Linked DNA regions of Arabidopsis thaliana. The protein of the gene in region 1 interacts with the protein of each later gene in a pairwise test. Each region holds a gene or a part of one and is shown on either strand. Other genes may lie near its edges.

Evidence for each region. The genes of interacting proteins can lie anywhere in the genome.
Region 2: the proteins of AT1G15900 (region 1) and AT5G35460 interact in a protein complementation assay, tested with the Arabidopsis thaliana proteins (one large-scale study listed by BioGRID).

What each region holds. Positions count from the first base shown.
Region 1 is NC_003070.9:5,462,170-5,465,880, reverse strand, and holds AT1G15900 (uncharacterized protein), read right to left. Parts: upstream 1,609-3,711; 5' UTR 1,526-1,608; coding exon 1,184-1,525; 3' UTR 934-1,183; downstream 1-933. Other genes in the region: AT1G15890 (Disease resistance protein (CC-NBS-LRR class) family), read right to left, coding at 1,920-3,711.
Region 2 is NC_003076.8:13,670,405-13,676,257, reverse strand, and holds AT5G35460 (uncharacterized protein), read right to left. Parts: upstream 3,770-5,853; 5' UTR 3,661-3,769; coding exon 3,580-3,660; intron 3,480-3,579; coding exon 3,360-3,479; intron 3,274-3,359; coding exon 3,216-3,273; intron 3,124-3,215; coding exon 3,023-3,123; intron 2,944-3,022; coding exon 2,848-2,943; intron 2,760-2,847; coding exon 2,666-2,759; intron 2,433-2,665; coding exon 2,195-2,432; intron 2,070-2,194; coding exon 1,712-2,069; 3' UTR 755-1,711; downstream 1-754. Other genes in the region: AT5G35450 (Disease resistance protein (CC-NBS-LRR class) family), read right to left, coding at 5,573-5,853. UniProt on the Arabidopsis thaliana protein: Glycerophosphocholine acyltransferase (GPCAT) that utilizes acyl-CoA to acylate glycero-3-phosphocholine (GPC), forming lysophosphatidylcholine (LPC).

The DNA of each region.
Region 1 (3,711 bases):
CCAAACAAGCTAAATAGAATCTCTAAGAAATCGAAAAACTTTTTAGAGTTAAAATGAGTCTGTCACATCAGATAGTTCATGCAGCAAAGTTTAAAGCCCAAAAGAGACTCAATTTCTAGCAAACTGAGTCGATAGTATGGAAATCTTCAGAGCAAGAGAAACCCTAGGGAAGAACTTAAGGAAAAAATAAACTAGAGAAAGCAAAAGAGACGAAATTGATACAGCATTTACAAAACTCAGCTAAGAGATTCACGCATGTCGCATGCATGATAAGGAACATAGAGAAATCCAAAATATTTTCTTAAAGAAGAAGTGAGTAAAGGCATTGAAGCACGAAATGCCCAGAGAATAGAGAAAATCATTACTAGGGATTTCAATGAGAAAACAGAGAATAGAAGAAATCTGGAGCTTACGTTAGAGAGGGAAGGAAAGGGAAGACGGCGATGACCCAACGCTTGATGAAGAGTGGAGTATAGAGAGACAGTGAGGAGGATCCGAAGAAAATTTCTATGCCAATAAAACAAGAGTTAGGGAATAAAAAAAGCAATAAAGATGAAGAGGACTTGGAAATTGGAATTAATTTAAGAACAAAAAAAAAATGAATTAGGATTCAGAAAAAATAAATGCGCCAATAGAAGGAGAGTTAGGAAAAAGCAATATTAAAGATAACGACTAAAAACACATTGATGAAAGAAAAAGAAAAAGAAAAAAAATCATGTTTGACTCATGTTTGACCAAAATTCATTTTGGTCTTGGTCTTGGACATCATAATCTTTTCAATTTTGTTGGTTTTCAAATTTTGATGTGATGTTTCAAGCAGGCCAAATGTTTCTCTCCTTGATCTTCACAATGAATGAGCAAATGGCGAAAACGAATATTTGATATTGAGCCTAAACACTGAACTAATTCAAAATTTCAGATTTCATGAATCATATACTTTAGCAGCAATAATCTGAGTACAGTTTTATTCAAAACTGATTTACTTGAATCAACAATACTCTCATAAACTGTTTGTTGCATGTTTTCATTTCAACAAGTAAAATCAAAGGAGACTGATTACCAAAATTTTGTGATGATCAAACTTTTGATAAAAATTGCGAGATTATCCGTGGATACAACACTGACAAGCTTCAACGGAATATTTTCTACTGTGAATCGAATCGGCAGCAATAAGAAAGAAGATTCAAATCGGAAGGATGGGTCGGGTACGTGATCTTCGAGATTTCCAGAGGAGGAGAACCAAAGCAGCTATCACAACTCCAATGGCGTCCGCGACGGCGTCTCTAACGGAAGCACCTGCGGAAGGGAAGATACCAATTTGATCGGCAGCTTCTTTAGCCGCACCGGCGGCGAGTGAGAAAGCAGATCCGATCCAGATGGAGTGACGGCGTAGAAAGGAGTAGCGGGAGAAAGAGGCGAGAGTAGAGAAGATAAGAGAGATTGAGAAGCAGAATATTACATGGTATAGTTTGTCTCGAGCTAGCCAAGGATCTTCTCCATCGCCGCCATGAAATTGCGTCTCCATCTAGTGTTCTTACTGGAAGGCTAAAAACGGTTTTCCGCGTTACAAAGATTAGGAAACCTTTTAAAGTAATAAACTCAGAGAGATTAGAGTAAAGAGAGAATGATAACGCACTTGGAATTTTTTGAACTTATTAGACAAAAACAAAATACAAGTGAAAACTGAAAAAGGAAATAGTCTTTCAAAACTTTGAAAACAAGTTAATCGGGAACAAAAGCAGTGCACAAACAGAAACCAAATCAAGAAGTGAAAGGATATAGTCAAACAGAGAGTGTCAAATCAAGCAAGAATGAGGGAGATAGAAAAGCAGTACATCTGCGATCTGCGATAGCTTCATTCTCCAAAACTAGTACATAAGCCAGAAACCATCAGCTAGCACCGGAGCACCGTCCTCCCATTATTCATTGGCATGTCGCGGAAACTCAGTGGCAGCTTCCGGTAGCTTAAGGCAGCTTCGTACATCAAATTGTCTCAGGTTTGGAAGAGCCGGGGGATTCCAGCAGATTCTCTTTAACTCATCCAAACCCCTTACTTCAAGGAATTCCAGCTTCCCAAACGGAACAACGATATTTGGATGCACATTGGTAATACTCATTCCTTTCTCCTTGTTTATTATCTCTTCTATGGTTAATGACAGCGTCACAGATAGACGCCTGAGGTTTTGAGCAAACAACAGCCATGTTAAATCCCTTGGACCTTCCAAATTGAATATTTCAACAACAGAGAGGTGCTTAAAGCCAGGAGAACTTGTACATTTAAGCTCCCCTCTTCCTTTTCTTTCCCAATCTATCTTTATCTCTGAGATTTTGGAGCCCACGATTTCAAGGTGTTGAAGACCACCCAGAGCTACCGTGTTCAATATTATAACCGGTGCTGACATATTTCTGAGACATAAAGCTTGAATACTACTCACCAATCGGTCCACTCCTTGTATACTTTCCAAAATCAAGGCGTCCTTTATAGTTGCTGTTAAAACCTTCAAGTGCTCCAAGAGTAGTAACTCTTCCATTAAACTGCCATCAATACAAACACGAGAAGAAAACAATTTCAACACTTGCAGGTTTGGTAGGCTTGTAGCTATCCCAACAATACTTTCAAGTTCATCAGTAAACTCCAGATTCAAATGGATTAATTTCTTCAACTCCTTAAAACTAACTGGCAACCATTTTATCCCTGTTGTTGATAAGTTGATATATTGCAAGGAACCTAACTTAGAAATTGCTTCCGGCAAGCTAGAGAGACTCGAGTTCCTCGAAAGATCCAAGACCACGAGTGCTGGCATAAACCTAAAAAAGTCACATGATATATGCACCAACTTGTTATTCTGGAGTAATAGAGTTGAGAGGTTGGGAGAGTTGGAACTAGAAGATATATTTGCAATCTGATTGCACATCAAAGACATCCTTCTCAAACTTTCCCAATTGATGTCCTTTGGTATATGGCATAACTGCACACCGGGTTTCACACAAAGTGTTTCTTTCTGTTTTCCAAAGTTCGACGCTATCCAAAGAGCCATCTCGCGTATGACATCATGCATTTTCACTTTTGTTGTTAGTTCACCATCCATCAATAGATGTGCACGAACTAACGAGCCAATTATGTCATGACCTTTGTTGTTAGCTCCATCTTCATCTTCATTCCCATCTATAAATCCTTCACACATCCAATATTCTATCAACTCTTCCTTTCTTACTTCATAATCTTCCGGAAACAGGGAACAATAAAGGAAGCACAATTTGACTTTTTCATCTTTTAAATCATCATAACTGAACTTCAAAACAGGAAGAATTTTTTCTTCCATACTTGGGAACTCGTGGCTAGACGAGTTCAGAACATGAATCACATGCTGCCATTCCTGAACAGTCTCTCTAGATGCCATAGCTTTGCCAATGACACTGAGTGCAAGTGGCAAGCCACAACATTTTTCTGCTACTTTTCTTGCAAGTGTGGGAATATCCTCATGGCTCTGTAATGGGATTGGTCCAACTTTCTTTTGGAACAGTTCCCAGGCTTCATCCGGTGGCAAACAATCAACTTTCATCTCACCATCAACTTCCATATCTCTGCAAACATCTTTAGAACGAGTGGTGAAAACTATTTTGGATCCATTTTCTCGCGTTAGAGGTGGAACTCCAATCTTTTCTAAATCTACTTCGCTCCATAGATCATCCAATAACAGCACAAATTTC
Region 2 (5,853 bases), on another chromosome or scaffold:
TAAAAATGTTAATTAGCATTTTGGGAGATTTATTGCGGATCAAGCAAGTCGCTAGAATCGGCTCAGAGACGGAAACCGAATAGTCAACTCGAACCCATTGATAGTGTCACAAAAAAAAGGTCTTGTATTCGCCGTGCTAGTGGATCAGTTTTGCTGGTTCCGGCCACCACCCATGTCCAACCTCAACCTCCTTAACAGCGTTGGCAATTTTTTCTCAGTTTAGTAAATATAGATTGTCGTACTGTCAAGGTCTTAAGCGCATTTCGAGAAATTTTATTCATAAAATTAAGTTTTTTCATTGAATGAACAAAAAATGAGACTAGCGTAAGTGAGAAATATGCCAAGTGTTGTTACTATACTCTCAAAGGTTGATCGATTACCATCATGAATATTGATATCATGGACAACTCGGACCTGACAAAACACATGATCAAGATAATTTTTCAAAAAACATTGTAGTCAAGGACACACCAACAATATTTACATTGATTTTCTGTTTTCTTTCTCTGTTCAGTGCGGTATTTGGCATGTATCTTAATGCGACCTACTTTGTAGATTATATAATCAAAATCTTATTCCATTCATTTCATGTGATACACGACTACACGTCCTGGATTCCACCAAGACAAGGCTCACGGGTCCAATGCTTAGAAGCGAGCGATGGAAGCTTTTAGATGAGAAGTATTTGATTCTACAAACAACCTAGAACTCGCAAGAACAGATTTGATTCAAGATACAAAGTATTGAAGCAAGAAACAAACTGAATTTCAATTGATCAAAGCGTGAATACAAAGTAGAGAATCAAAGAGCTTAAATTGAAAAGTACAACAATGGTCTAAAACTTAGAAAAGGAAACCGAATAATGCGAAATAAAGAGAGGAGCGTGATGATTCTAGCCGTTAGGCTATAATGGAGGATCTTCGGTGATGGCGTCGAGAGCTAAGTTAAAGTCGCAGCTTCTAAACGTCGTGTAGTCTTTTCATGAGGGTGAATATAATCAGCAGAAAGTCTTCAAGTACATCAGGGGGCTCTTCGGTTTGGTTTGACTCAATTTGACCGTACGGTGCAAATTGGTGGTTCTTGAGTCTTCTTCCAAATCAGCTCGTTACAGGGGCGATTTGCATCGATCAAAATCCTCTTCATGGTCGATTTTTGAGTGAATTCTTTGGCGGAACTCAAGTTATTAAGCTTCATCTCCACTGAACAATAGTCGTATCGGACATGATGGATTTCATAATGCTATCGGCATACTTATTAAGCTTATTCCGCGGCTGGTAACGACATGTTCGAGAACTATGCACTATCAAACACATGAATGTTATGATCTTTAGTGATGGTTGTTTTGTACAGCAGAAACAGAAAACAAAATCCGCGTCTCAAGGAGAACTTATCCCAATCTACTTCGCTGAAATCCGAAGATTTTCCTTTCTCGAAAACGCGTTAAAAATATAGTTAAATCTCTCATAATGCAATTTTAAGGCCAGAATGTCCTAGCGAAACAGGATCAAAACTTTGGCTAAAGAGTAAATAACAAGTTTCTTTAGAAAAAATAAACTACAAGATCATTCACATACATTAAGCTTTTAGAATGATGTATAGCAACAAGAGAAACAAACAGTTATAGAACAAAACATGAGGAACAAAAAAAACACCAATCATGATTCACCTTTGAAAACTTTATTTTACATGTACCTTTTTGTTAGAACCATGATCATGTTTCAGTAGATTTTGGCTCATTCTCAGTCGGATGTGACACAGCTTCATGATGTAGTATCTGCTCCTCTATCGGCTGCATCTCAGCTTTCTTCTTCTTCTCTTTCTGGATCACTTGCCGTGGCATTACCTCTAGTAAAAAGCTCCCTCCGTTCCACACAGCCGCAGAAATCTTTAGGATCTGAAAGATCACATGAAGTCTATAAGATAGGAAGATCGGTACGGTCAATGCCATGGTTGCCACCGTGAAGATGGCCTGGAATAGGATGTACATCCATATACGATTCTGATCCCCTAGCAGACCGCTCAGCTGCCACAACTTATTGTTTGCCTTTTCAGCTTTCTTCGACAGCTCTCTGCACATACCAAAGGATTCCATCAATACAAGTGTTCACTCTATGGTAAGAACACATTACATTATGCTGTGACCTTAGCGATCAATATGAGGAGAACATTAACATACGGCGTAGACAAGAGATACCTGTAAGAAGTCATAACTTCAGGATCTCTAAGGAGTCTCTGCCTACGCAGGACATTGACGATTAGAAAATAGAGCACTTGCCAAAGAGTATAAACGACTAAGGGGACGAGAAACAGCCATGTGAATAGGTAAGCTTTGTCTTCAACATAAGGCCATGAAACCCTACGATCAGTGCCTACAGGGTGCATAGCTGCAAAAGTCGCTGGATTCCACCACCTAATCGTGAAAAACACGAGCCCTGAAACCAAAATTCATTACAATAATAAAGAAACAATGGAGAGAGAGAGCATAAAGCTTAACTATATCTATCATATGCATTACAACAAGGAACCATGTGTTTGAATTAAAAACGGTTGAGAGGGGAACAACAAGCTAAGAATTCATACAACTACTTTAATCAAAGCCGTCAACTTTAGCAATATGAATCAATAACATATCTTCTTCTGTCAACAAGAAGATTATAGAACTCACCAGGTAAGAGATGTATAAGAACACTAACAATCTTATCCGGCGAACTAAAAACCAGACTGCAACGCCAGACAATAATCGCCCACGCCAATGGTCCCTGCAGCACAAGACACAACCAATAAAATAAATCAGCACACACAATGACACAAAAGACTCATATACATACATGTAGTTAAAAAGCATACCTCAGCAAAGGAAAAGCAAACCATGAAAAGCTTTTCATTCTTAGGATACAGAAGAAGATCAACCAAGAAGATTGTATTGGCATAGTAGCAAAAGTCCTATCACATACACAAAAATTGTTTCAATAACAATCAAAACGACTGTTTCTTAATTCCAAATCCTCAAAAGAGACATTACCAGAAGATAATAATGCCATTTCTTAAACCGGTAATATATCCATCGAAGAGGAACAAAGATCACATAGAAGAAACAGTAAACTAAAGGAATGTCTTGAGGTCCTGAAAACGAAAACATCATCAACATCAACAACATTGAATTAAGAACAAAACACAAAAAAAACAAAAAAAAAACACAATTTCTTTGAACTCACTTGCACCAAGTAGGAAACAAAAACCTCCAAATCCAAGCACACCAACGAGATGTGTCACCTTTAAAACATTACAGAACCAAACATTTTCAAACCAAAGTAACTTAAAATCAAAACATGATTGAAGAATCAAGAGAGAAACCTAACCTTATTGATGAATCTCTCATGTTCTTCGGCTTGTTTAGCGATCTTAACGGCTTGTTTCGATAAGATCTCACGCGTTTGTACCGCTTGTTTAGACAACAACTCTCTCGTCTGAACAACTTTCTGTCAAAATCAAAAACAATTGGTCCACAAAGTCAAAATCAACAAAATTGGAACAAAAGAGAAACATCAAAAATGGTGAAAATCGAATCTGATGTTGTACCTTTGATCGATCTTTGAAACGTTGTTTAACAGCATCAAACGAGTCTAGTCCATTGGAGTTTGAATCTTCGTTATTCGCCATTATTGCGGTCAGATTTCTCTGTAGATGCTTTTGTCGTTTTTAAAGGAGAATCCGAAAACACTGAATTTTTCTGTTTTCAGGATATTTTACTTTATGCGGAATTAAAAATTTGGTGAAGGAAAATGACCCAAAAATCATTATTAAACTCTTTATATTCGTTACTATTTTTGTTCAGTTTTATAAAGTGGTGATTAATTACATGTAATCCAATAATTACATTCATAATTAAGTAATAAGGACTTTATGTTTTATCTTGGGAAATCAGATGGAATATTAGTCCTCAAAGTAAATTAATTCCATTAATTGCCTTTGGTGATTATATAATTTAAAGACTTTAATAAGAGAGACTGAGAAGGAGCCACGTGTCGAAAGTTGAAACTTCTAGGACCCTCTTTTGCGCGGGTCGAGAAATTTCCTAGCGTACACGTATTTTTCTACATTATTATAGTTAGAGGAACATTTTGTTTAATTGCATCTTGTATTAAAGAAAAAAAGTAAAAAAAGAATGCTGTGGTATAACTTCTTTACTAGGTGCCGACAAAAAAAAAAAACTTCTTAACTAGGTTTTATGAGTTCAAAACTAGAGTTTCTTGACAAGGTTTCACATGTTCCAGAAGCTTTAGTTTTGTTTTTGGATGAAGTTTGAAAGATTCAAAAGCAGTGTTGTAAAAAGCGGTCTAGACGGTCGTTTATATGCCGCTAAGCGTTCAGTTGACGCCTAAATAATCATCTCGACTGCCTAAAATAACATAAATTTCGTTTTAGTATATTTTTTTTATTTTTAACTAATATTGCTTAAATTTTATAAGTTTTACTTCTACACATGGTTATAAACATTCATATATTGTTGATATAAATTAAAGAAACATTTTTATCTAATTTTTGATTAGGATCCGATTAATATTTTCTAATATATAGTTTTATATGATTTTTATCTATAATATCATATTTAAAATGTTTTATGTCATAAACGGATAAACCACCTAAAATCACTTAAACCCCGACTAAGCGTTCTAAACGCTAGGCGTTGGGTCATCGCCCGTTTATCGCCTAACACTTTTTTGAACATTGTTCAAAAGTAAACAAATATACTAAAGCCATAGAATAAGGGGGTCTGTCTGAAGTTGAAACAAGATTTAAAAACAAAAGTACAAAAACTGGTGTTTTGTTCTGACAATCTTATGTTGTTCCTGAACAAGAAATCGACTAATCCCTCAACGACCCAAGTCTAAGTCACGAGTGCAAATATCACACAGTACTGATAAAAGAAATTAAAATGAAACAAAAAACTTGTACAAAATGAGATTGTTTTGTTTATTGTACATCAGTTTTGCTCGTCTTGGTTCAACCATGACTTCACTATGCGTACACAGTAAAAGAGGTGCAAAACTAACAAAACTTAAGCCTAAATGTGATAAAAAACAAATCTAACCAGATTTGATGTAAATAAAGCTTACAAAAGCTAGCTAACTGTGTTAAATCACAAACGAGAAAACAAAACAAATTCGTATAAACATAAATATCCAATTTTTACAATGAACTACAAAAAAAACAAGGTTCGTTTCTCAATTTTATGAAAGAGTTCTCAAGCACGTTCCATGCATCCACACCGAAAACAAACATCAATAAAAAGCATATAGTTCTGAGCCACAACATAACGATGCACTGAAAGCGAGAGCTCCAACGTAATCAGTAGTACTTCAGAATCTGTATTCCAGAGATTTATCAGTAGATGACTCTTGTGAAGCAGCCTCTATCTCTCCCAATATAAGAGAATTTGACTAGCTTCTTGTTCTTTCCTGCATCTATTTAAAAGATGATCGATTTTAGAACAATGTATAAAAGTTGAGACTGTCCACATGACTTTGAAAAGTGAACATTATTATACCGTTTATTTTTTACCTGCTACTGGTTATTCTCTTTGTTCGTCGTCACAGTTGAAAAATTGAACATCGGGAATGTGTTGGACTTTGTAGTAATCTTCTCCAACCAATTTCTCCTTCCACTCCCTCTTCATTCCTTCAATCTTCAGTTCCTTTAAGGATGTTACATACTTGAGTCCGTCAGGAAGTTCCTCCAACTTTTCGCAACTATGTATAATTAAATCACGAAGACATGGCATCGACCCTTCTTCTACTATCCACTCTTCCAACTCCGATTGTTCAGATATTTGTAGAGCACGTAATTGAGGAA